4 linked regions of the Arabidopsis thaliana genome follow. The protein of the gene in region 1 purifies or fractionates together with the protein of each later gene. This does not show direct contact. Each region holds a gene or a part of one and is shown in the gene's direction. Other genes may lie near its edges. The genes, in order: AT3G23145, AT2G44070, AT1G44835 and AT5G38640.

The links.
Region 2: the proteins of AT3G23145 (region 1) and AT2G44070 fractionate together in Arabidopsis thaliana (co-fractionation; one large-scale study listed by BioGRID). This does not show direct contact.
Region 3: the proteins of AT3G23145 (region 1) and AT1G44835 fractionate together in Arabidopsis thaliana (co-fractionation; one large-scale study listed by BioGRID). This does not show direct contact.
Region 4: the proteins of AT3G23145 (region 1) and AT5G38640 fractionate together in Arabidopsis thaliana (co-fractionation; one large-scale study listed by BioGRID). This does not show direct contact.

Annotation. Positions count from the first base shown.
Region 1 is NC_003074.8:8,249,846-8,254,259, forward strand, and holds AT3G23145 (ATP binding / aminoacyl-tRNA ligase/ nucleotide binding protein), read left to right. Parts: upstream 1-2,292; coding exon 2,293-2,355; intron 2,356-2,513; coding exon 2,514-2,612; intron 2,613-2,795; coding exon 2,796-2,981; intron 2,982-3,107; coding exon 3,108-3,171; intron 3,172-3,286; coding exon 3,287-3,351; downstream 3,352-4,414. Other genes in the region: URO (C2H2 and C2HC zinc fingers superfamily protein), read left to right, coding at 734-1,252.
Region 2 is NC_003071.7:18,230,129-18,235,171, reverse strand, and holds AT2G44070 (NagB/RpiA/CoA transferase-like superfamily protein), read left to right. Parts: upstream 1-2,541; 5' UTR 2,542-2,702; coding exon 2,703-2,723; intron 2,724-2,840; coding exon 2,841-3,685; intron 3,686-3,764; exon of another isoform or gene 3,765-3,782; intron 3,783-3,792; coding exon 3,793-3,847; intron 3,848-3,994; coding exon 3,995-4,075; 3' UTR 4,076-4,307; downstream 4,308-5,043. Other genes in the region: AT2G44065 (Ribosomal protein L2 family), read right to left, coding at 4,804-5,043.
Region 3 is NC_003070.9:16,937,284-16,943,423, forward strand, and holds AT1G44835 (YbaK/aminoacyl-tRNA synthetase-associated domain-containing protein), read left to right. Parts: upstream 1-2,517; 5' UTR 2,518-2,625; coding exon 2,626-2,664; intron 2,665-3,011; coding exon 3,012-3,071; intron 3,072-3,169; coding exon 3,170-3,223; intron 3,224-3,318; coding exon 3,319-3,379; intron 3,380-3,508; coding exon 3,509-3,585; intron 3,586-3,874; coding exon 3,875-3,924; intron 3,925-4,027; coding exon 4,028-4,110; intron 4,111-4,210; coding exon 4,211-4,281; intron 4,282-4,368; coding exon 4,369-4,522; intron 4,523-4,618; coding exon 4,619-4,749; intron 4,750-4,822; coding exon 4,823-4,897; intron 4,898-4,982; coding exon 4,983-5,054; 3' UTR 5,055-5,240; downstream 5,241-6,140.
Region 4 is NC_003076.8:15,466,514-15,472,981, reverse strand, and holds AT5G38640 (NagB/RpiA/CoA transferase-like superfamily protein), read left to right. Parts: upstream 1-2,257; 5' UTR 2,258-2,307; coding exon 2,308-2,794; intron 2,795-2,897; coding exon 2,898-3,017; intron 3,018-3,169; coding exon 3,170-3,531; intron 3,532-3,694; coding exon 3,695-4,439; intron 4,440-4,532; coding exon 4,533-4,629; intron 4,630-4,721; coding exon 4,722-4,776; intron 4,777-4,796; exon of another isoform or gene 4,797-4,899; coding exon 4,900-4,962; 3' UTR 4,963-5,303; downstream 5,304-6,468. Other genes in the region: AT5G38650 (Proteasome maturation factor UMP1), read left to right, coding at 283-408, 608-708, 1,127-1,224, 1,674-1,774; APE1 (acclimation of photosynthesis to environment), read left to right, coding at 219-408, 608-708, 1,127-1,224, 1,674-1,774; CYB-1 (cytochrome B561-1), read right to left, coding at 5,471-5,767, 5,864-6,063, 6,420-6,468.

The DNA of each region.
Region 1 (4,414 bases):
TTACCTACTTTAAGCACAACCACAAGTCCACAACTCCTTAGTGAATGCTTCTTTTAAAAAATTTGGTTTTATTATTTTGTAGGTATTACATGTTCACATTCAAAATATATTTCACACTATATTAGATTAAATTTAACTAAGCTTTAATATTTCACTAGCTCCTACTAGCCTTCCAATTTTTACAATTTTACTTTGCAATTTTTACTCTCGATCCAAACAAATAAGTACTTTTTTGTACTATATTCAAAGATGAACAACTTTATATTTTTCTTGAACAAAAATGAAATTGAATAGAGAGAAACTAGCTACCCTAACTAGTCACTCGAAACCTTATAAATAACACCTTCTGTAGTTTGTTTTCCTATGAAGAATATTTTTCAACTTTATCTATTATATTATCCTTTGTTAAACTTTCCCTGAAAATTGTTAGAAAATAAACTAATTAAAATAATTCTAAGCATGACGTTTTTGTAGTTATTAATTCATGTTACATTAGACGCACGAATTTAATTATAATACACACCCCCGTAATTAAGTACATTAAAGACCCTAAAGTATATATATTAACCATTGATAAAACAATTTAGCCCTAATTAGTGTCCGTTCACACACATAATCTTTCCTTTAGCTTATATATACGCTGGTGTGTGTTTTTAAGAAGCTTCATACACTCATTTTCAAAACATTGAATACTGAGACTTGAGAGAGATCCCAACAGAAGAAGAAGAGAGAGATGAACCACCGGGACAAACAAATTGATTCCGGCTCTGGCTCTGGAGAAAACCGCCGGACTTATGACTGCGACATCTGCAAGAGAGGTTTCACGAATCCTCAAGCCCTCGGTGGTCACAATAACATCCACCGCAGGGAACGCGAAAGATACCCCTCCTCCTCTTCTTCTTCTCACTCATTTCCATTTTCTCTTCCGTTACCATCTCAGTCTCCCTCCTCCTCCACAAACTTCACAAACCCTCCTCCTTATTTTCCGACCATTGAGTCATACCTACACCAAGGGTCTCAGCCACCTATTAACCCTAGCCACAACACACAATACTTTGGATCATCATCATCATCAAGAGGAGGAGGGAGATTTGCTCAAGGGGCGTCTCATGATCTTAATTTGAGCTTAGGGCTCGGATCCATGAATGAAGATGATGACACTCACCGGAGCCCACCAGAGACCGGAGGTTCTCAACCTCAAGATGGTGATCTTGATCTTGATCTTCGACTCGGCGGTCATCGTCATCATTAAGCTTGCAGCGGTTTCCCTCACGTTCGATCCACGTAACCATATACAATATATATATATAGTTGAAAGTTAATCACCGTATAGTGCATGATGTTTATTGTGGTGTTTATATATGTTTTCAATATATATGTAGTATGATCAAAATATGTTGGACTTGGAGTCATGTTTTTATCATGATCGTATGAAGTTTGGGTTTGTATAATTCAAGACTATATTTTTCACTTAAAAATTATAGATCAAATAGGTTAATTTGAGTAATGTTTTTGTTATACCTTTTTCAAAAAGAAAAAAAAATGTTCTTGTTGTCTGAAGTTGGGTTTGTATAGTACAGGATTATTGTTCTTTTCCATAACTATATATTAGTGTAGATCTATAGATCAAGTAGTTTTGCGTAATATGTTCTAATAATTAGTTACGTTGTATGAAATTTGGGTTTGTATAATCAAAGACTATCTATCATTCTCTTGTATAATATTTTACATGAATTTACATTTCAAGTGGGTTTGTATGAATTTACATTATAAAGTAAGTTTAAACTTATATTATGAATGAATTCGAACTGCAATGGGATAAACATTATATGCGTTTTAATAATAGGTTGGTGAAGTTTATAATTTACACCATTTGAAAAGCCTTCCAAATTTAGAAACTACATTTTTGCAGACCCATGTGAGCTCATATGAATCAATCATAGCCTTGATGTTGTAAAACAAATTATGATTATAAAAATGTGATAGTATATTACATGCATAAAAAATAAAGGAGAGTAAATGAAAGTCAAATCTGGGTTTTATGAACTGAAAGTTGAAGTTTAGAAGTAGAAGTAGCGATCAAAGTATGACCAGTTAAAAGGCCCAATATCATTTGGAGGTTTGATTTTTGGGTTCGTAAATTTCAAGAGCCAGATTATGATTTGCTGGGCTTAAAAATCATGGAAAAATTGAAATGACGGTGTTAAAATATATAACTCAAATTAAAGATTTTAATTGGGTGTAGTAGGCTGATTTTTTTATAAGAATCTTGTCTATAGATGCTTCAAGGTTATGCCTTATAGTACTGGTTGTAAAACACCACTATCTAATTTTGAAGCTGGTCAGAACTATAAGGTATGTTGTTGTTGGCCTTGTTGCTAATGAAGATTATAACATTCTGTTGTTGCATTTTTTTTTTTTTTTTTGTGTTAAATATATATATTTTTTTTGCATATTTATTGTTGCATATTGTGTTGCATATTTAGTAATGGTTACATTCCCTGTTATCGGAGATCCAAGATAATACGGCTCTTGTGGCATGGACTACTACTCCATGGATTCTTCCAAGTAATCTTGCTTTGTGTGTCAATGCAAAGTTTGTCTATCTTAAGGTTCGTCAACAACACTGGAAAAGTCTACATTGTTGCTGAATCTCGGTTGTCATCGCTTCCTAGTGATAAGCCTAAGGCCGGCTTAACTAATGGAACTTACTAGTGATACCATAATGCGAAAGGTGCTAATTAAGCTTGACAGTGAAGAGGATTCTTATCAAGTTTTGGAAAATTTTAATGGAGATTCCTTGGTTGGGAAGAAGTATGAACCTTTGTTTGATTACTTTTAGCGATTTCTCAAGTGTGACTTTTCGACTAGTAGCAGATGATTATGTCATGAATGATAGTGGTACTGGTATTGTCCATTGTGCTCCTGTCTTTGGTGCAGATGACTATCGTGTTTGTCTTGAGAACGAGATAATTAAGAAGGTTAGATTTGACAACATCTTCCTTATATCACCACCTTTAACATTAAGTTTATTTTCTTTCTTGTTTAAGTTTACAGTATCTTCAAGAACCCATGTTCATGACACATTTTGTTCATGTGTTGTTTAGATTGTCAGAGATTTCAAACGTCCAGATGGTTTGAAAGATACAGAGATTGATGCAGCTGTAGATAGTACATATCTTAATTAAAAATACCACTTCTCTATGCTCTATTGTTGAGGAAACATATAATATTTGCATTCGTTCATGGTTCAGATATGATGTTATGGTAATTCTTGATCTACGAGAAGATGAATCTTTGAAAAACGAAGGTGTTGCCCGTGAGGTAAATAAATGTAACCGAAGCGATTAATGGTCATATATAAGTTGTATATTTGATATATGGGTTTCCTTCTCATTGTGCTCATGCATTGAAAAGCACCCTGTTATGACTGTGGTTCTAGGAGAACATTTGCATTTGACAGTCGGTGACTAATTGTTAAGCAAGAAGAACGCATGAGAGCCTTTTAAAGTGTTTTCTTCTAGATCGTTGCAAAAAGTTAAATGTCTCTTGAGACTTTGTACTCATTCTATAGATAAAGATGGGATTTATTACAAAAACAACAAGAAACTTTGTTACTTGTGGAAATTCAAAATTATCCGAACTAGCTTCACAAAATATGCTCAAGAGTTTCAATGTATTTTTTTTTGTTCTGTAATTGTATGACTCCGTTTGAAGCATCAAGATTATGGTTATAGGTAGTGATGCTAAAACTCTCTGTTGTTACAGTGACCACTAAAAACACCAACAAAAAAAACTTAGGTAACGTGTCGTCTAAAAACTTCTAGGTTCAATTTCTTTAGATAGTACTATCAATAAATAAAATAAATATGTACAAAGGCTTTAAACAATGATGTTTTTCAAAGATGATTGGTAGATACTAATTAGAGCTTCAATATAAAAGAACACATGCGATTCTGACATTCTGTGGTCTAACATGGTTTCTTCTAGAGTCAAAACCATACAATTAAAAGTTAGGAAAGTAATAGCAATGTGGTTTCAAATATATACTCATTACTCTTTAGATTCATGTATGGTGAAGGAAACATTATAATAAAATCAAAGATCACAGTTTTGTAGGTCCCTCATATTAATCAACATCTTAAGGCGTTATACATATCTTCTTTTTGTAAATATTTGACTAATTAAAATATCTAATTAGAGTATTAGACTAATCTCATCAAATATCCGACTACTTGTGTCAGTTCAAAACACAGTGATTACGTTAGATTTTGTGCTCTTTTGTTTATAAACAAAGCTAATTTAAGAAATATATGATCTATTTGCCTCCTTGGTCTTAATTTTATACTTTCTTGGAATAAAACACATTTATTAAAATAATTTTTAGGTTCCTAGATTCATGTCATGTGGCTTG
Region 2 (5,043 bases), on another chromosome or scaffold:
TACAGATTTATAGAAAACCCATATTTGATTATAGTGATATATATAAGAACGTATACAGAGAGCGCAATCTCTTATCCAAATCAGAAAAAGATTTCAATTCGTAGCCAAAACCAAGAAAGATATAAGATATAGGTGAACTATAGGAGGGTGTTTTTTTTACTCGTAATTCCTTGGATTCTATTGGTTAATCCATCATCCATAGTGTGTGTATATTTAATTTTTAGAAAATTAGAAAGAAAAAAATTGTAGAAAGGGAAAGCTATATAGAAATGGCAACCCATGCATGATTGCCTTGAACATCGCAAACCCTCCCTTAGATTGCATGTCTAGTGGAACATAGTGGACCTGCAACAATATTCAACAAAAAATTCATATTATATACATTGCATAATGCATAGTAGGACATAATAAGATGAATTATTATGCTCAATAACAAGTTTATATGATATGCCCACAGTTTCATCACATATACTTGAGTTTATTAAAACGAATGATTCTATTTCTCTATTAAGATTAGCCTTTATTAATTGTTAGTGGTATGAGATATATTGAAGAAAATAAGTATAAGCAAAAAAAATGTTGATAGAAGAATTAAATAAGCAATAATTTCAAAAGGTATGTAATGTGGATGAAACGGCACATGTCGTTGTCACGTGGCTCGTTCCCATCGATTCAATGCATATCTCGACCAACTTGACTTATTAATATTCCTCGTACAACTCTCCAATCTAAAGCCACCTTTCTTCTACGTTATACATTTTCTTTTTCTGTTTTCTTTTAAATACTTTCTCCTCACAAATTATTGTTTTCTATTATCTAAAATCAATACCGTTAGGAAATGGTGTCTTTATAACACTTTAGAAAAATATAATTAATCATTTTCTAATGTATTATTTTTGTAATTGAGTAATTTGATTTAAAAATATAAACTAATATAATAATATTGGTATTTAATCATTTCAAATATTCTTAATTATATTCTTTTTGAATACACGCATATTGTTCTAAACTATTAATTTCTTACAAAAATTCTATATTATTTATTGTGTCTACAAACAAAAGAGTCGTCTAATCATTTTTGGTTTCATTTTTTTTTTGCTAGAAATCAAAAACAAATTCCTCATTTTTTTTGAGGTAAGCTAATGTTATTTTCTAATAACAATCATAAGTAATACCCGTGGTTTAAAGTTTACACGGTATTAATTAGGTACTACAGCCATGGTGGACGGTGGATCTTCATCACCTAATCCGTACAATTAAGAGACAATTAATTACATTAAATCATGTGCATTAGTTGATTTAGGAACTAATTGATAAATCAACTCTAAAGACTAAAGTAGTGCGATAGATAAAGCTAAAGTATATATTTTCTTCAGTATAAAGATAGGAATATATGGGGACATATACTTTTGTCGATTTTGTATCCAGCTTTGCATCAGTGAAGTCTGAGCGAAGATATGACCAGACTTAAAAAGCAACTAAAAAGATGCATAACAGAAACACAAAAATAAAATTCATGCATCTGCTAGTCATAGAGGTTATTGGATTCATTGCACGTATCTTAATGATTCGTTTTCGTTTCACCTCCCTTGCTACAAAAGATTTGAAAGAGAAAATGTTAAATTCTTTAGGTCAGAATCAATTAAGATAATTTCATTTTCTTCTTGTGTTTTGTACGTCACTTGTTTCTTTTTTCGTTGGTTATGTACCAAAACATGAAAAGTTCAAAAATTGTTAATTAGAAGATTAAAGAGAAGAGTAAGAATAAAGATGAAATGAGGAATTGATATGGAGGAGTAGGACCCAAGTTTGCAAGGATGGTGGCTGGCTGGCTGCTCTGTTGTTTGTTACATCTCATTCTCAATCTTAATTCCAATTCTATGTGCTTCTTTCACTATTTCCCTATAGAATACCATTCTTGTTTTTTTTTTTCAATTTTCAAAAACCACTATAAGGAACTTTTTCAATAGTTGCTTGTTTGTTTAGACCAAGGAAGATGTCAAATAGATTTCTTCACTTTTCAAGTGGAAGCAAAATTATGCGGTCAAGTGTATTATACTAGTGTGTGTTTTTTTTTGGTTTAATACCGACTAATTTCTAACTCTAATCTATCAGTGAACGTCTTAAAACTAATATTGCTGAAGAATATATTGTTCTCTGCTACAGCCTACAGCATTCAAAGTTTCATCAAAAAGATAAAATGTATATATAACTAAAAGTTTTGGGTTAATAGATAATAGTCAAAGAAGACATTCGTGTTGAATGTTTCTTTTTTTTTTTTTTTTTTATCGTGGGGATTGATTCAATGCATTGTTCCAACCTTTTGACTCTTTCTCGTGTTTCCTTTTTTATTCGTTTTCTGAATTATACTTTTTAGACCCTTTCCTCGAATTTTTACTTGAGCCCTACTCTAGTAATACATAAGCATATATATAAAAATCTCTCAAATTTGATTAGGACAGTTTTAGTATATAAAAAAAGGAAAAAACGCATTGTTTAAAACGTGGTCATGACGAAAACGTTTGATTTCGATCGATGATATTTAAATAAAGGAAACACCTAACCATATTTATTCTTAACTGATCAAAGATCCTCCAATTTCACGAAGCCTAAAACTCTCAAAAACAGATTCAATAACGTCACCAAACCTTGAGGCTTTTTAAAGGAAGAAGCATTTGAGAAAATCGTAACTTCTTGACCCTATGCATTCTGCTGTGTACAAGGTATGGTTAGTGCTTGTAATATACAATTATATAATCTCTTTGTTTTAATAAGTGGTTGCTCATTAAGATGAATGTTACTTGTCTAGTGAATGAGTATGACGTTGTTGTGGTTATCAGGTTGGTCTTCATTATCTTTCTTGGGATATTTCTGGTGGCAATGCCAGATGTATTGCGATGCTCCAAGCATTCCAAGAGGTTGTTAAAGATTACTCGACGCCGCCTGAGAATACCCTTAATAGAGACATGACTGCTCAAATAAGTAGCTACGTCTCTTTCCTCATAGAATGCCGTCCGCTTTCGATTAGCATGGGAAACGCAATCCGATTTGTGAAAAACAGGATTGCAAAGCTGCCTATAACACTTTCTGAATCTGAAGCAAAAGCTTCTCTTCACTCAGATATTGAACGTTTCATTAACGAGAAAATCATAGGTGCAGATACAGTGATAGTCGAACATGCTGTCACTAAAATAAGAGACGGTGATGTCCTTCTGACCTACGGATCTTCCACTGTCATTGAGATGATATTAGTGCATGCACATGAACTCGGGAAAAAGTTTCGTGTCTTTGTGGTGGATTCTCGACCAAAGCTTCAAGGGAAGCTACTGCTTCGTAGATTGATCAAACGAGGCATTAACTGTACATACACTCATATAACTGCCATATCATATATCATGCACCAAGTCACCAAAGTGTTTTTGGGCGCCTCATCAGTTTTTTCTAACGGAACAGTTTACTCAAGGGTTGGCACTGCTTGTGTTGCAATGGTGGCTAATGCTTTCCGTGTTCCTGTGCTTGTTTGTTGCGAAGCCTATAAGTTCCATGAGAAGGTGCAGTTGGATTATTCAATATGCTCCAATGAGCTCGGTGATCCAAATGCTATTTCAAAAGTTCATGGAAGAGAAGACATAAACTACTTAAATGGCTTGACCAACAATGCAAAGCTGAAGTTTCTGAACTTGATGTAAGCTAGCTTGTGTTAATCGTACAAGTGAAACTATATATGTTCTGTTAATACTATTCTTCTCTGCCTGCCACTAAACCCGTTTGTGATTTTTTTTCTAATGATAGGTATGATGCTACACCTTCAGATTACATTTCCATGATAATCACAGATTATGGCATGGTAAGATTAATCATATCGGCTCTTAATTAAAAACATAGCATTATGGTGATCAAGTGATCTCATCCCTAAACATAACTCATGCAACACAGTTTCTCCACTCATTCAGAATCTCAAACCATTGAACACTGACCATGTTTTATATTTCAGGTACCTCCCACAAGTGTGCCTGTCATCGTAAGAGAATATCAGAAAGAACACTTGCTTCAAAGCTCAAAGATTGTTATTTAGATGCTCAAAATAGAAGTAAGAATAAAAATGAAATGATATGGAGGAGTAGGACCCAAGATTATAAGGCATGGTTGCTGTTCTGTTGTTTGTTACATCTAATTCTCATTCCTTATTCCAATTCTGTGGGCTTCTTTCACTATTTTCCCTATAGAATACCATTCTCGTTTTTTGTTTCAATTTTCAAAAACCACTATAAGGAACTTTTTCAATAGTTGGTTGTTTGTTTAGACCAAGGAAGATGTCAAATTGATTTCTTCACTTTTTTGATTAATGTTTTGGGGTAATTAATTAGTCAAAGAAGACATTTGTGCTGAATGTTTTTTTTTGCTGAATGTTTTTTTTTTATCGTGGGGATTGATTCAATGCATCATATTGTTCCAACCTTTTGACTCTTTCTCTTGTTTCCTTTTCTTTTCTTTTTAGACCCTTTTCTCTAGTATAAGCATATAAATCTCTCAAATTTGATTTCGACGATTTTAATATATATATAAAAAAAAGAAATTCGCATTGTTTTAAACGTTGTTATGATGAAAACGTTTGAATTCGATTTTTTTTTTTTAATAAAAGTAAACACGTAACCATATTTATTCTCAACTGATCAAAGATCTTCTAGTTTCATGAAGCCTAAAAAACTCTCAAAAAACAGATTCAATAACGTAACCAAATAACATTGGAGGCTTTTTAAAAGAAAGAAACGTTTGAAGAAAATCGAAACTTGTTCACCCATATCACATTTTGGCTGCTGCTTCTGCCAAACGCTTCTTCTTCTTCTTGACACTAGCTGATTTGTAACCGCCTTTACACGGTTTTCCCCACGGACTAACCGATGTCCTTCCTCTGCTTCCACTACTTTTGCTTTTTCCTTCACCTCCACCGTGTGGATGATCACACGGATTCATCGCCACTCCTCTAACTTTGGGCCTTATCCCTAACCACCTACTCTGTCCTGCTTTATATAGCTTCTTCGT
Region 3 (6,140 bases), on another chromosome or scaffold:
CCGGATCGAGACGAGTTTTTTCTTTTCAGGGGATATCTTAATGATCTCCCAAAACACATAACATGGCATTATTTTTCTCAATGATTTATGTTTAAAAGTTTTAGAGAACATTCATAGAACAATATTTATAATTTTGATTCGGAAAAGGAAAACCAAACACTTTTTGGTGTTATGTAGCTAAATACAAAAGACAAAGAAACTTGGTGTTGCTAAATCACTAGGCAGTATTTGAAATAGATCCAACATTGGTCGTGAAATCATGATCTCAATTATATGTTTATGTTGTCTCATTATAACGAATATTAAATCGTGTAATGTTAATTGATTTGTCATTTGTCAATTATACTAAGATTGCGATTTCACGATGGCTAGACAATCCATTATACGCCTATTTTAGTTATTGTAAGTATTTTATGGTTCCAATATGCGAACCGGGGGTTGTTAATTGTTTAACATACTCGGACTAATGAACTCTATAAATTCTTTTTTCCTATACTAATTACTTTAGCGGTTTAGCCTAGTAAATACATACACGAACTTTTCAAAATGACCATAAGCTAAATGCTACTAGTCTATCTCATTATCGACTTAGCAGGAGAAAGCAATCTTAATTTTCCTCTCTTCCTGTTTGTTTCTCATAATTAGGGTTTCGTTTTGCGGACACTTTACCTCTAAAATGGCTTATAGCATCTCCAACCCTACTCTATTTTAGAGTCAAAATGCAAAATTCTTCTCCAACCCTACTCTATAATTGACTCAAAAATAGAGATTTCTACAGATTGACTCTATATATAGAACAACTCTATCCTCAACTCTATTTTTGAGTTCAATTTTTTTATTTATACTTTAGTCCCTCAAATTTAAACTTTTTTTATTTAATGCATATAATCATTTTACAAACAACAATTACAACACATAGTTTTATAAACTTAACAAACAAACAAATACTAATTTTAATAGTTTTATAAACTTAACAAGAAGCAAACAAGTACTAAATTTAAAATAAACAACATAAAAAACTAAAACAAATATTCTAATGGTGTTAACCGTGTTATTTATAATAAATATTCTAATGGTGTTAATTAAAATAAAATTTGTAATGTTTTATTATTTTTATATGATGTAATGATTTTTAATAAATAATAAGTGTTTAATTTAAATAATTTCATATTTTATACGAATTTTGCAAATCTATAATATATGGGGTCAAATTTTAAATTATATAATTAAAAAGTATTAGTATATAAAATAGAAATAGAATATTTCTAAGAATATTCTTTTTTAGAGTAGAAAATAGAGATATACATTGGAGAAAAACTCATCTCTAAAATTGAGTTACTCTATTTTAGAACAAGATATAGAGCTATACATTGGAGATGGTCTTAATACATAGTCAAAATTGATTACTTATTTGATGAAAAAATATGGATTTCTTATTTTATTTTCTCATACCAGTGATTGTTTTGTTGTATTGGGGCTGAAAAGTGTTCTTTCAGCACATCAGAGAAAAAAGTTAAGAATAGTGTGTTAAGCAGTAACCATACTCTTTAAAGCCGTAGATTAATTATTCAAGAAATTAAAACAACTAATTAAACAAAAATCCTAGCAAAATCTATTTGAATGAACCATATCCAAATCCACAAAGTCAGTCCCCCAAATGTTGAAACACGTAAATTAAACACACAACAACAAAAATATAATTAATTAAACATAACTAATGATTTTTATAATTTACACAAAAATCAATCAATATTTTTTTAACTATTTTATATTCATTTCTAACTACTTTTATATTTATATGTTATTAGAAAATATTAATATATATATATTTTTTATCAACCACACATATATTAAAATATAACTCTATGATCGGCTGCCCAATTTAGAGGAGAAGAGTTTACAAAAATAACATCAGACAACAATAAACGAGAAAAACAGGTTAAACAATATGCTTTAGAATTACATAAACGGTAAAAATAAGAAATCGAACCAAGCGTCGTTAGCTCAATTGGTAAAGACCCTAGACGAACCTTAGAGGTCGCCGATTCGAGTGACGTTTGGGACGAAACTAATATTACATGCTGTGGTTTCGGGTCTGAGAGATTACGGGATTCGGTCCAGAACCTCCTAATATTTATAAAAAAAAAAATTTTTAAAATAAGAAATTAAAGCTCGGAACATTCAAACTCGTCTAATAGGTTGGAGAAAGCTGGTCAATCATCAGGCGAATACGCCACCGAGACTAAACTCTACACAATCAGTTTCAAATATCTACAATCAATCCTTCTTGTAAAGATATTTTTCGTAGCCCAAATTTATGATGACTTTTTTTTATTTGTGGTGCACCATTTATGACAACTTAAAACAGTTTAATTTTAAATTAAAAATTTGTATTTTCTTATGACCTGTGGTTATATGTTGGGCCTTTTAGGCATTTGCAAGTTAAGTATGGTCGTGGATTGAAAAGCCCAATGTGTAATCCTCTAGTTTACTAAGAAGGTTTAATGTTTTTCAATCCAGTACTGCAAAATCTGCAAAACCTAAACTTTCGTCTTCTCAACAAAATCTGCAGTTCCTTGCTCCTTTCTCAGTCCAAATTCTCTGATTTTTGATTTTTTCGATTCAATGGGTTTCACCAAAGATCAGTTGCTTGATCGACTTCAGGTTTCCATTTTCACCTTTAAACTCAATTACATCATTTTCATTTCGCATTGCTTTTGTTGGAATTTGTCAGATAAGATTAGATAAATCATTAGCAGAGAACGGAAAATGTTACTTCGTTTTATGCTTGATTCTATTTGAAGAAGTTATGTGTATTAATGGATTTGGATGTGTATCTATGGATTCCAAGTTATGTGTATAGTCGTCTTGAACTCAGAAGTTTTTCAATGTCTACTTTTAGATTCTAACCCTTAGGTCAAGAATTTTGGTGTTACACGTTTTGTTAGTGTCAATGTTAAAAAAATGTGGCAATGTGAATTGATGATTAAGGATTTGTATCTATCTTTCAGGAACTTGAGATTGATTATTCCAAGTATGAACATCCGCCTGTACTAACCGTCGAAGAACAGGTGAATATACCTTAAAATGTTTTAGATTTTTAAAACTTAAGTGTATGATGTTTAAAGATGGATTTATAAGGCTTTGTTTTGTGTATTTAAATCTTCAGGCCAAGTATGTTAGCAGTAGTAAGGGTGCACTGAGTAAGAATCTCTTCTTGAAGGTAGTCTTTCAAAGCGGTACACCATTAAAGGCATTATCAAGTTAGAGTATTAGTTGATTGTTAATGGTGCATATGCCTCTATTTTGTTTTTGCAGGACAAGAAACATCGGTATTATATTGTTTCAGCGATGGTGGATACGAAAGTTGACATGAAAGGTAACATATGTTTTCTCCTTTTTTCGTTTGTGGATATTGGCATAGAAGAAGTCTCTGGGCTTTGTGAAGTTTGAATGTTTTTTTTTTTGGATGTTAATGTGTGTTCCCTGTGACTTCTAATTTAAACAGTTTTATCTCAGAGACTTGGTCTTGGAAAAGGAGGGATTAGAATGGCTCCAGAAGAAGCACTTGGTGAGCTTTTGCAGGTATTTTTCATAGTCTTTTCCTCTGCTACTGTGTTTTGTTATATATATCTGGAAAGAGTTTTATTAAATGATTGTGCTGTAACATGGGAACCATGGTAGCGATAGTTTTTTTGACAATTGATAAGAAAAGTTTCTCCAAACCAAATTGCTTTAAATGATCTATTTATGCATGGTGATATGTTTGTTTTGCTTATCGCAGTTTACAACAAATCCACACGAATATATTGAACTTATTGTCATTCATGTTTACAATTTTTGACACTCGTGCTACTCTCTTTTTTCGTTAAAGGTATCCCTCGGATGTGTTACCCCGTTTGCAGTTGTAAATGAATCAGCAAGGTATTGTTTGCCTTACGGTATTGGTTCATATGGTGTTTTCCCTTCCAAGTTCCTAATTATTTCCATTGACTGACATTCTTTATTAAAACTTTCCATGTTAAAGAGACGTGTCTCTCTTGTTAGACCAAAAATTCAAGAACCAAACGCGTTGCATCTTCCACCCATTGTCTAACGATGTCTCAGTCTGTAAGTTCTTTCATTACAGACTTTTCTTTTATGGTTCAAAATAGTTCATAACATCAGATTTTAGCTTATATCTAATTTGGTTGGTTCCTATCATTTCCAGCTCTGAACACATTGGGTCTGGACAAGTTTCTGAAGTCGATTGGGAGAGATCCCGTATACGTTGACCTTGAGGCAAATACTCTAAACCTTTAACTTGAGAACTCATGTTCCACAGTTCCTTTCCTCAGGGTTAACCTTTTGAACCTTTTGCTGTTTCAGGCTAACCCGGTAGTTGGTAAAGACCAGGCTCCAGATCTAGCTGTTTGTGTTCCGTCTAATTCAGTTATTGTTCCCGAGATTCCTAATCAAACATCTTCTACACAAATTCCTCTTCCAAAAAGTGTGTCAGCAGAGGTCAAGCCTGTGGCTTCAGGTATGCCTGATTTATCAGTTTCTTAACCATGCGCTCCAAGTCTTGTTAAACCGTGAAGGATTGGTTTATATAACTCGGTTTTCTTCAACGGTGCAGCCAAAACGAGCAAGCCAGCTTGTAAGGTGAAGAGCGTCGCTGAAAATTCAGCTCCATCAGCTTACAAGAACCCGGAGAAATTTGTGCAGGAGATTTTGGACAAAACTTCGGCTCTATTATTGTCCGAGGTAGTAAACTCAATCCCGAAACTAAAGTCGATTTCGTAACATTTATAGATCAACTCTGAACCGGTTTTATATACAGGCTAAGGGAGAGTGCGTGGAGGCTTTGGCAGAAACACTAAGAAAACGACTTACCTCAGAGTTGACCCACCTCTCTGTGAGTACATTTCGATATACATGGTTCGCATCGGGTAAGACTAAGCCGTTTGTACTAATCTTGGTTCTATGTAAATTGATTGCAGATTATGTACAAGAACTCAGCGTACGCAGAAGGTTTTTATGCTGGTACACGCCACCAGCCGAAGCGATTGTAAGAGGTTTGGTTTACATGTTGAACCGGAGATATTTGGGAGAGAAACATTACCGGTTCAGCAATATATTTTCCTTCGTTGGACAGCAAATTTTAGATAAGACTGAAAATGATTACATTTACATGAAAGCTCGAACCATTTATTCACTTATTGTTGCTTTGTTTGTTCAATCAAAGATAAACCTTTTCTATATCCGAAAACTGAATTTGAAATTCGAACAAAACGTAAGAAAAACATTCATCTAAAACTTACGATTTTCTGGAATAAAAGAAATATTCGGATATTTCATATACTAAAATAAAAGGTTTTGTGTAAAAAACTCTAACTCATTCATTTTTGCAATTTTACCCTCTATCTCCAACAAATGCAAATTAATCATACATAGTCTAAAATAATAGGAAATATGACTTTTATATGTATATTGCAAACGTTTTTATACTCACCTATATTAGGTTTTAGAAAATTTGAAAATATAGTTGAACTTGGTTTTAGATTTTTTGAAGGAATGTTACACATAGAGGCACTTTCGGAGAAACTTAATTCACTTTATACACTTTAAAAACTAGAGGCACTTTGCCTTGCTTTTGGAGTGAAATAAGACATATTTACCCCCACTAATTGGTAAGAGATATTACTACAAACCGGTTTGTGGTTTCGTTTGGTTTTGGTCTAAAATATACGGTTAAAATGGTCGGTTTAGAAAAAACAGTTTCCACGTTATGACGATCGTCGGATTTCATTTAATTAAACGGCCGTGATTAATCATTGTAACTTCCCTTGCTTTTCGACTAAATTCAAACTGACACACGAGATCCATTGAAACACATAAGATTCTGGGTTTCGATCATCGAACTTTGGCCAACTGTCGTTTCCAAGGAGGTACGATTGTAGAAAACTGATATCATGATATTAAAACGCAATTTCGTGCTTTCTATTTGTTACGGGAATCAGAATATAACCAATTTTTATTTTATCGTTTATATGTACAGGGATCGATGGACGACTATATCATGGTTATATGTGGAGAGTGGTTTTGTTCTTCGACTGGAGAGTGGAAATTGGAGATATGTAACCAACTTTTCTCAAGGG
Region 4 (6,468 bases), on another chromosome or scaffold:
AAATTAAGCACATAAGTTAGAAAAGAAAAATGTGTTGTAAGAAAGAAAAAAGGTTAGGAAAGAAATATGCGACAGAAAAAAGAGTTTTATGGGCTTACAAATAAGAAAAGCCCAAATGGGCCTTGAGTTTGAGCTTTACATAAAATTCATTCTACTAAACTTAAGCAAAATCATTCCTTCTTCTTTCTCTGAAACTTTTGCCTTGCTTGCTTGCCCAGAAAGTCGCCGAGAAAGTTAAAAGTAGAACGGCGGAGGAAAAAAAAACGAAGAGGAAGAGGAGAGATGGAGTCGCAGAAGAAGATAGCTCATGAGATCGGAGGTATGAAGAACGATGCTCTTCGCTTTGGTCTTCACGGCGTTAAGAGCGATATCCTTAGATCTCATCCTCTCGAAACGGCTTACGAATCTGTAATCAATCACTTCACAATCTTTTTTTTTTTTTTTATTGATATTGAGGAATTAGAAAATTAGGCTAATTAAGGAACTTAGGGTGTTGATGAATAAGCTTCGTGTTGATTCAGAAATTTGAGAATTGGGATTTTTTGACGGGGTTTCTGAAATTAGTTTTTTTTTTTCCTTTCTATAAACTTGTTTATTGTGATTTCAGGGGAAGCAATCACAAGAAGAAATGAAGAGGAGAGTGATCACGCATACTTATGGAGCTGCTCTTCCTTTGAAGATGGATCTTGATAGACAAATCCTTTCTCGGTATGGATCTTTAAATCTGTAGCATATGAAATTCTGAATTACACTGATTATTAGGTATGAGAATGTATGAGAATCTTCCTTAGGCTTTATAGAATACTGTTAAGATTGAAATATGGTTTCCTAATGCTAGTAATCTATCTTGATTAGGTCAATTGCTGTTCTGAATTTTGAAATATTGTTAGTACAAATGTGTATATGAATCATCATAATGATTATATCGAAAATTCGGAATCATAATCGTGTAGTGCTACTTAGAATTAGATTTGCAGAACCATAAACGCGTAGTGGATACTCTTAAATTAGTAGCAATATGTAGATTGAATTCAGAACCATAAACGCATAGAGCAGCCTCTTCTTCATTGAATATTTATTGGTGAATTGAATATTTATTGTATATCTTTTTATGTGGAGTATTCAGGTTTCAGAGACCTCCTGGACCAATTCCTTCATCAATGCTTGGCCTTGAAGTCTACACAGGAGCTCTAGATAATTTTGGTTTTGAGGATTACTTGAATGGTAATTGTTTTACACCAGTTTTCCCATTTGGTTGTGCATTAGAGTTTTCTATTCCTACAATCTTTGAGCATTTCTCAAAACATGACCGTCACATACTGCTTGCATTGTGTAACCAAATCATCCTCATCCTTGCATAGAGTTTAACTCTTTGTTTAGCATATAATAGAAAAGTGTCTCAACTTGTTTATTTCGTTTCGCTTACTAGTCTCTACTTTGTAGATTGTTCCACTCCAAAACACCAATAGACAGTGACAAACCTTTGTTCCAGTTAGACTGTCACAAATCATCGAGCATTGCTCAAAAATTGACTGTCACATACTACTTACTTACATTGTGTAACCAAAGTTGAACTTTTGGTTCAGTATATAAGAGAAAAATGTTTAAACTTTTTAATTCTCTTAGTTTCACAATTTATATTGTTCTGACGATGAATGGTGTATAATCTACAGATCCTCGCGAATCCGAGACGCTGAAACCAGTAGACTTTCACCACGGGATGGAAGTTCGGCTTGGTCTCTCCAAAGGCCCAGCTTCCCCAAGTTTCATGTAGTCACCACCATCAAAGTATTTCCTTCGTCAGGTCTCATATGCTTTTTAATCTGAGTAAGATCATGTTATGAATTTCCACCAGCCCTAAAAGAATCTACTTGTTGTTTGATCTCTTCTCTATACTGTGTCTCCTTTGCTCTGAACATGATAAAACATATGAACTGTGTTTCAGTTCTTATCTCTCTCAGTTCACAATTTGTTGGACTTGCTTAGTTATTTAAATAAGATTATGCTCCTATTTCATTATTATGTTACTGACACCAAAACCTTGGATACTAGATTCTATTAGAATAAATAAATTGCATATGGATTAATACTCTAAACAAAACAAAAACAAAAGAACAAAGTAAGATTGTTTTAGTGACTCGGACTGGACTGTTAACATCGGATAAATCTGAAAAAGTAAATAAATAAAAATAAAAACCCTATTCTACGTTTTATTCGTCTGGGAAAACAAAAATTAAATTCGATCCCCAAAATTAATAATTCCGTCTTCACCGAGAAAAAATCCAGAGCTTCTTCTCCTCCGACGCGATGGAGTCTCGTCGGAACCCTCGCGCCGTAGTAGATCCAAAGGTCCGACAAGTCGGTTTCTTCACATCATCTCAACCCGATTCATCAACTCAACAACAACAACCCGACCCGATCGCTGCTACCTCTGCTTCTTCTTCTTCTTCCACCATTTCTCCTTCCGGTAACTCACTCTCCCCCGTCATGATTCCTCCTCCTCGTCTCAATTCCTCTGATACTTTCCCTCTTCGAGTCGCTGTCGCTGGTGCTGCTGCGTCAGCCGTGTCTCCTTCTTCGTTTTCTTACTCAAGTCGCCGTGATTTCCCTGATGGATCAACGACGGCGTCTCCTGGACGCCATTCCAGGGGTAGTTTCGTAAAATCATCTGTTCCTGTTGCTTCTTCGCTGCCTGGTATTGGGATGGATTCTATGGCTGCTGCTAAATCTAGTAGTGTTCCTGCTAGTGGTTTAACCACTGTCTCCGTCGTTACCATGCCTCCTGGACTTTCTGGTACTCTCACTTTTGATCTTGTGGAATCATAATTTGATTGATTTTGAAATTTGTTCTTTAGGATATATGAGGCTAATGTATTCACAATGTTATATAATTGCAGAGAAGGCTAGTGGAATGGAGGTGCAGAGTGACCAGAAGAAGCCATTGAAAGAGAAAACCACTAAAGCTGAGAGACGAGCTATTCAAGAAGCTCAAAGAGCTGCTAAAGCTGCTGCAAAAGGTGCATTTTTGATTTAAACCAATGTGTGGTTTTATCGCAATGAATGATTCGTCAGCTTAGTACAGAGATTTGATATGCTGGTTGCTCTGTTGTGTTATCGTTGTGTATTTTGCAATATCTTAATCAGTCTGTGTAATACTGTGCTATATCAGCTGATGGTGGGAAGGTGGCACCAGTGTCCTCAGCCTCGGTGGCTTCAACAAGTGTTAAAGCTGCTAAACCAGCGAAGGCTACATCTCAGAAGAATGATGTTGCTGTTGCTACTGGAGCAGCTGAGAAGAAGGGAGGTCCATCTGAAAAAGATAGAAAGAAAGATGCTCCTCATCCCCGCATGCAGTATGATGATGAGAGTAGAGTCGTGAAGGCTAAAAGACGTGCTGTTGTAAAACAGACCGAGGCTAAAAACAGGGTTGAGCTATTTAGGCATTTGCCTCAGTATGAGCATGGCACTCAACTTCCTGATCTCGAGACTAAGTTCTTCCAACTTGACCCTATGCATCCTGCTGTGTACAAGGTATTTGTTTTCTCTTGAATTTATCTGGTTGGTGCTTCTAATAAACTATTAATAATCTCTTTGTTAAAACAAGGAACCGTTTGTTCTAATGAGTGGTTTATATTGCTTCATTAAGATGAATGTTACTTGTATACTGAATGAGTATCAGTTGTTGTGGTATCAGGTTGGTCTTCAATATCTTTCTGGGGATATCTCTGGTGGCAATGCCAGGTGTATTGCGATGCTCCAAGCATTCCAAGAGGTTGTCAAAGATTATTCAACACCGCCTGAGAAGTCTCTTAACAGGGACATGACTGCGAAAATAAGTAGCTACGTCTCCTTCCTCATAGAATGCCGTCCGCTTTCGATTAGCATGGGAAACGCAATACGATTTGTGAAAAACAGGATTGCAAAGCTGCCTATAACACTTTCTGAATCTGAAGCAAAAGCTACTCTTCAGTCAGATATTGAACGGTTCATTAACGAGAAGATCATAGTGGCAGATACGGTGATAGTCAAACATGCTGTTACTAAAATAAGAGACGGTGATGTCCTTCTGACCTACGGATCTCCCACTGCTGTTGAGATGGTAATATTACATGCACATGAACTCAGGAAAAAGTTTCGAGTCTTGGTGGTGGATTCTCGTCCAAAGCTTGAAGGGCAGCTACTGCTTCGTAGATTGATCAAACGAGGCATTAACTGTACATACACTCATATAAATGCCATTTCATATATCATGCATGAAGTCACCAAAGTGTTTTTGGGCGCCTCGTCAGTTTTGTCTAACGGAACAGTTTATTCAAGGGTTGGGACTGCTTGTGTTGCAATGGTTGCAAATGCATTCCGTGTTCCTGTGCTTGTATGTTGCGAAGCCTACAAGTTCCATGAGAGGGTGCAATTGGATTCAATATGTTCCAATGAGCTTGGTATGCAATATCTTCTCTCGATATCAGTATCATCTTATACCGCCTTTGATTTTGTTTTACCTTACATTGGGTTTCTTGCTTCTTTACCTTTAGGTGATCCAAATGCTATTTCAGAAGTTCATGGAAGAGAAGACATAAACTATTTAGATGGCTTGACCAACAACGCAAACCTGCAGTTTTTGAACTTGATGTAAGCTTGTGTTTATCGGAGAAGTGAAACTATGTTCTGTTAATACTAATCCTCTCTGCCACTAAACTCGTTTGTGATTTTTCTAATGACAGGTATGATGCTACACCTTCAGATTACATTTCCATGATAATCACAGATTATGGCATGGTAAGATTAACCATCGTCTCTTAAAAACATAGCATTAGGTTCCTGAAGTCTCAGACCTATAAAATACAGTTTCTCCACTTATTCAGAATCTCAAACCATTGAACGCAATGTTTTCGTTTTCAGGTACCTCCCACAAGTGTGCCTGTCATCGTGAGAGAATATCAGAAAGAACACTTGCTTGTCTAAGCAAAGCTCATTTTTGCGAAAGCTCTTCTTCTCCAACCCCCTCCTCTAGCTCAGGCTCTTCTCATCACAACCCAGATAGAATAACTACCGGCACTGCCTCCCCTCATCCGCTTCTTTTCCTGAGTACCGGGTTCATTTTTTTTGGCCTTGACTTGTTTTTAGAAACTTTTGACTCTGTGAAGAGTGCGATTCATCATCCGCCTCTCCGGGAAGATTTTATCGATATCGGTGATGTTTTTCTTTGTCTGTGATGTATGAGTGAGGCTTCTCTTACTCTCCCTTCTCATGGAGGTTGATACAAATCTTTCTCAGATTCTATGCCAATTTTTGTTGGGTTCAGTCTTCAACATTGGTTACACGTGTTCTCATGCTTTACTTGTATTACAGTCATATATGCACTGCTCGTTAAATCAGTTCAAAAAGACTCAATTACATCACAAATTGTCTCTTAAATAAACAATGTTTCGATAGGTCGAAATGTTGAAAGAGATCTTTTCGAGGGTTTACTCTATTGTGTGAGAACTTGATCCTTGCCACTGACCGGAGTAACCACACCGAGTATCACGAAACCGCCAAGAATAAGGATTAGAACGCCCATTGTGTTGACTAACATTGCCTCTGTGGAATACCGAGTTATCACTTGATTCACTTGCAGGAACGTCACCTTCTCAAGTATCCCTGTGGTTGCAGTCACCAACGCCAATGCATATATGGAAATCCCTAAGAACACATGCCATGGCATCAAACTGGCTCTGCTGTTTCTTGAACCACCCGGGTACCAATAAGTCACAAACCCTGCAGCCCACTGTTTGTAACAATAGATTTGAGTGAGTTCTTGATATTTATTCTTACTGAGTAATGGAGATTGTTATTTTAAAACAAGTCAGAACAGAGAGTGTACCTGGAATGCAAAGAGAAAGAGGCAAGCAAGGCCGAGCCACGAATGGAGACTGTAGAAATTTTCGATCCCTTTGTCAATATGGAACTTGAGAGCAGCCCACACTCCGATCAGGCTTAGAATAAATGCTGTGAGTTGTAGTGTAAGATGAACCAGTTTTTTCAAGTTCTTTGTACCTTGAACTGACTTATATGCTAACATAGCTGCATAAGTTGAAGGTACCGTTCATGTTAGAAACGAAAACATGTCCATGGTCTCTTTACCGAATTAACAATGCCGTAACTAAAAACAAAAAAAACTAATCCTATGAGTCCTAAACCTCTTGACATAAAATTTCAATGTACTCAAATGTTAAAAAGGGCAATTCAACAGTTCAGTCTCTTTGACAAATGAAGTATGCGGAAATCGAACATGAAAACCGATACAACGAATACTAAAACCTCTTGACATTAGAATAGTCGCCAGACGGTAATATACTACAAATTTGAAGTCTAAAATATGAAGTTAAGACGGTAATATACTACAAACTCTTAACATGTGAAGGAGATTGTTTGCTTACCTTCTCCATTGAAGAGTATGAGTCCAATCACCATCATCACTGGATGAAC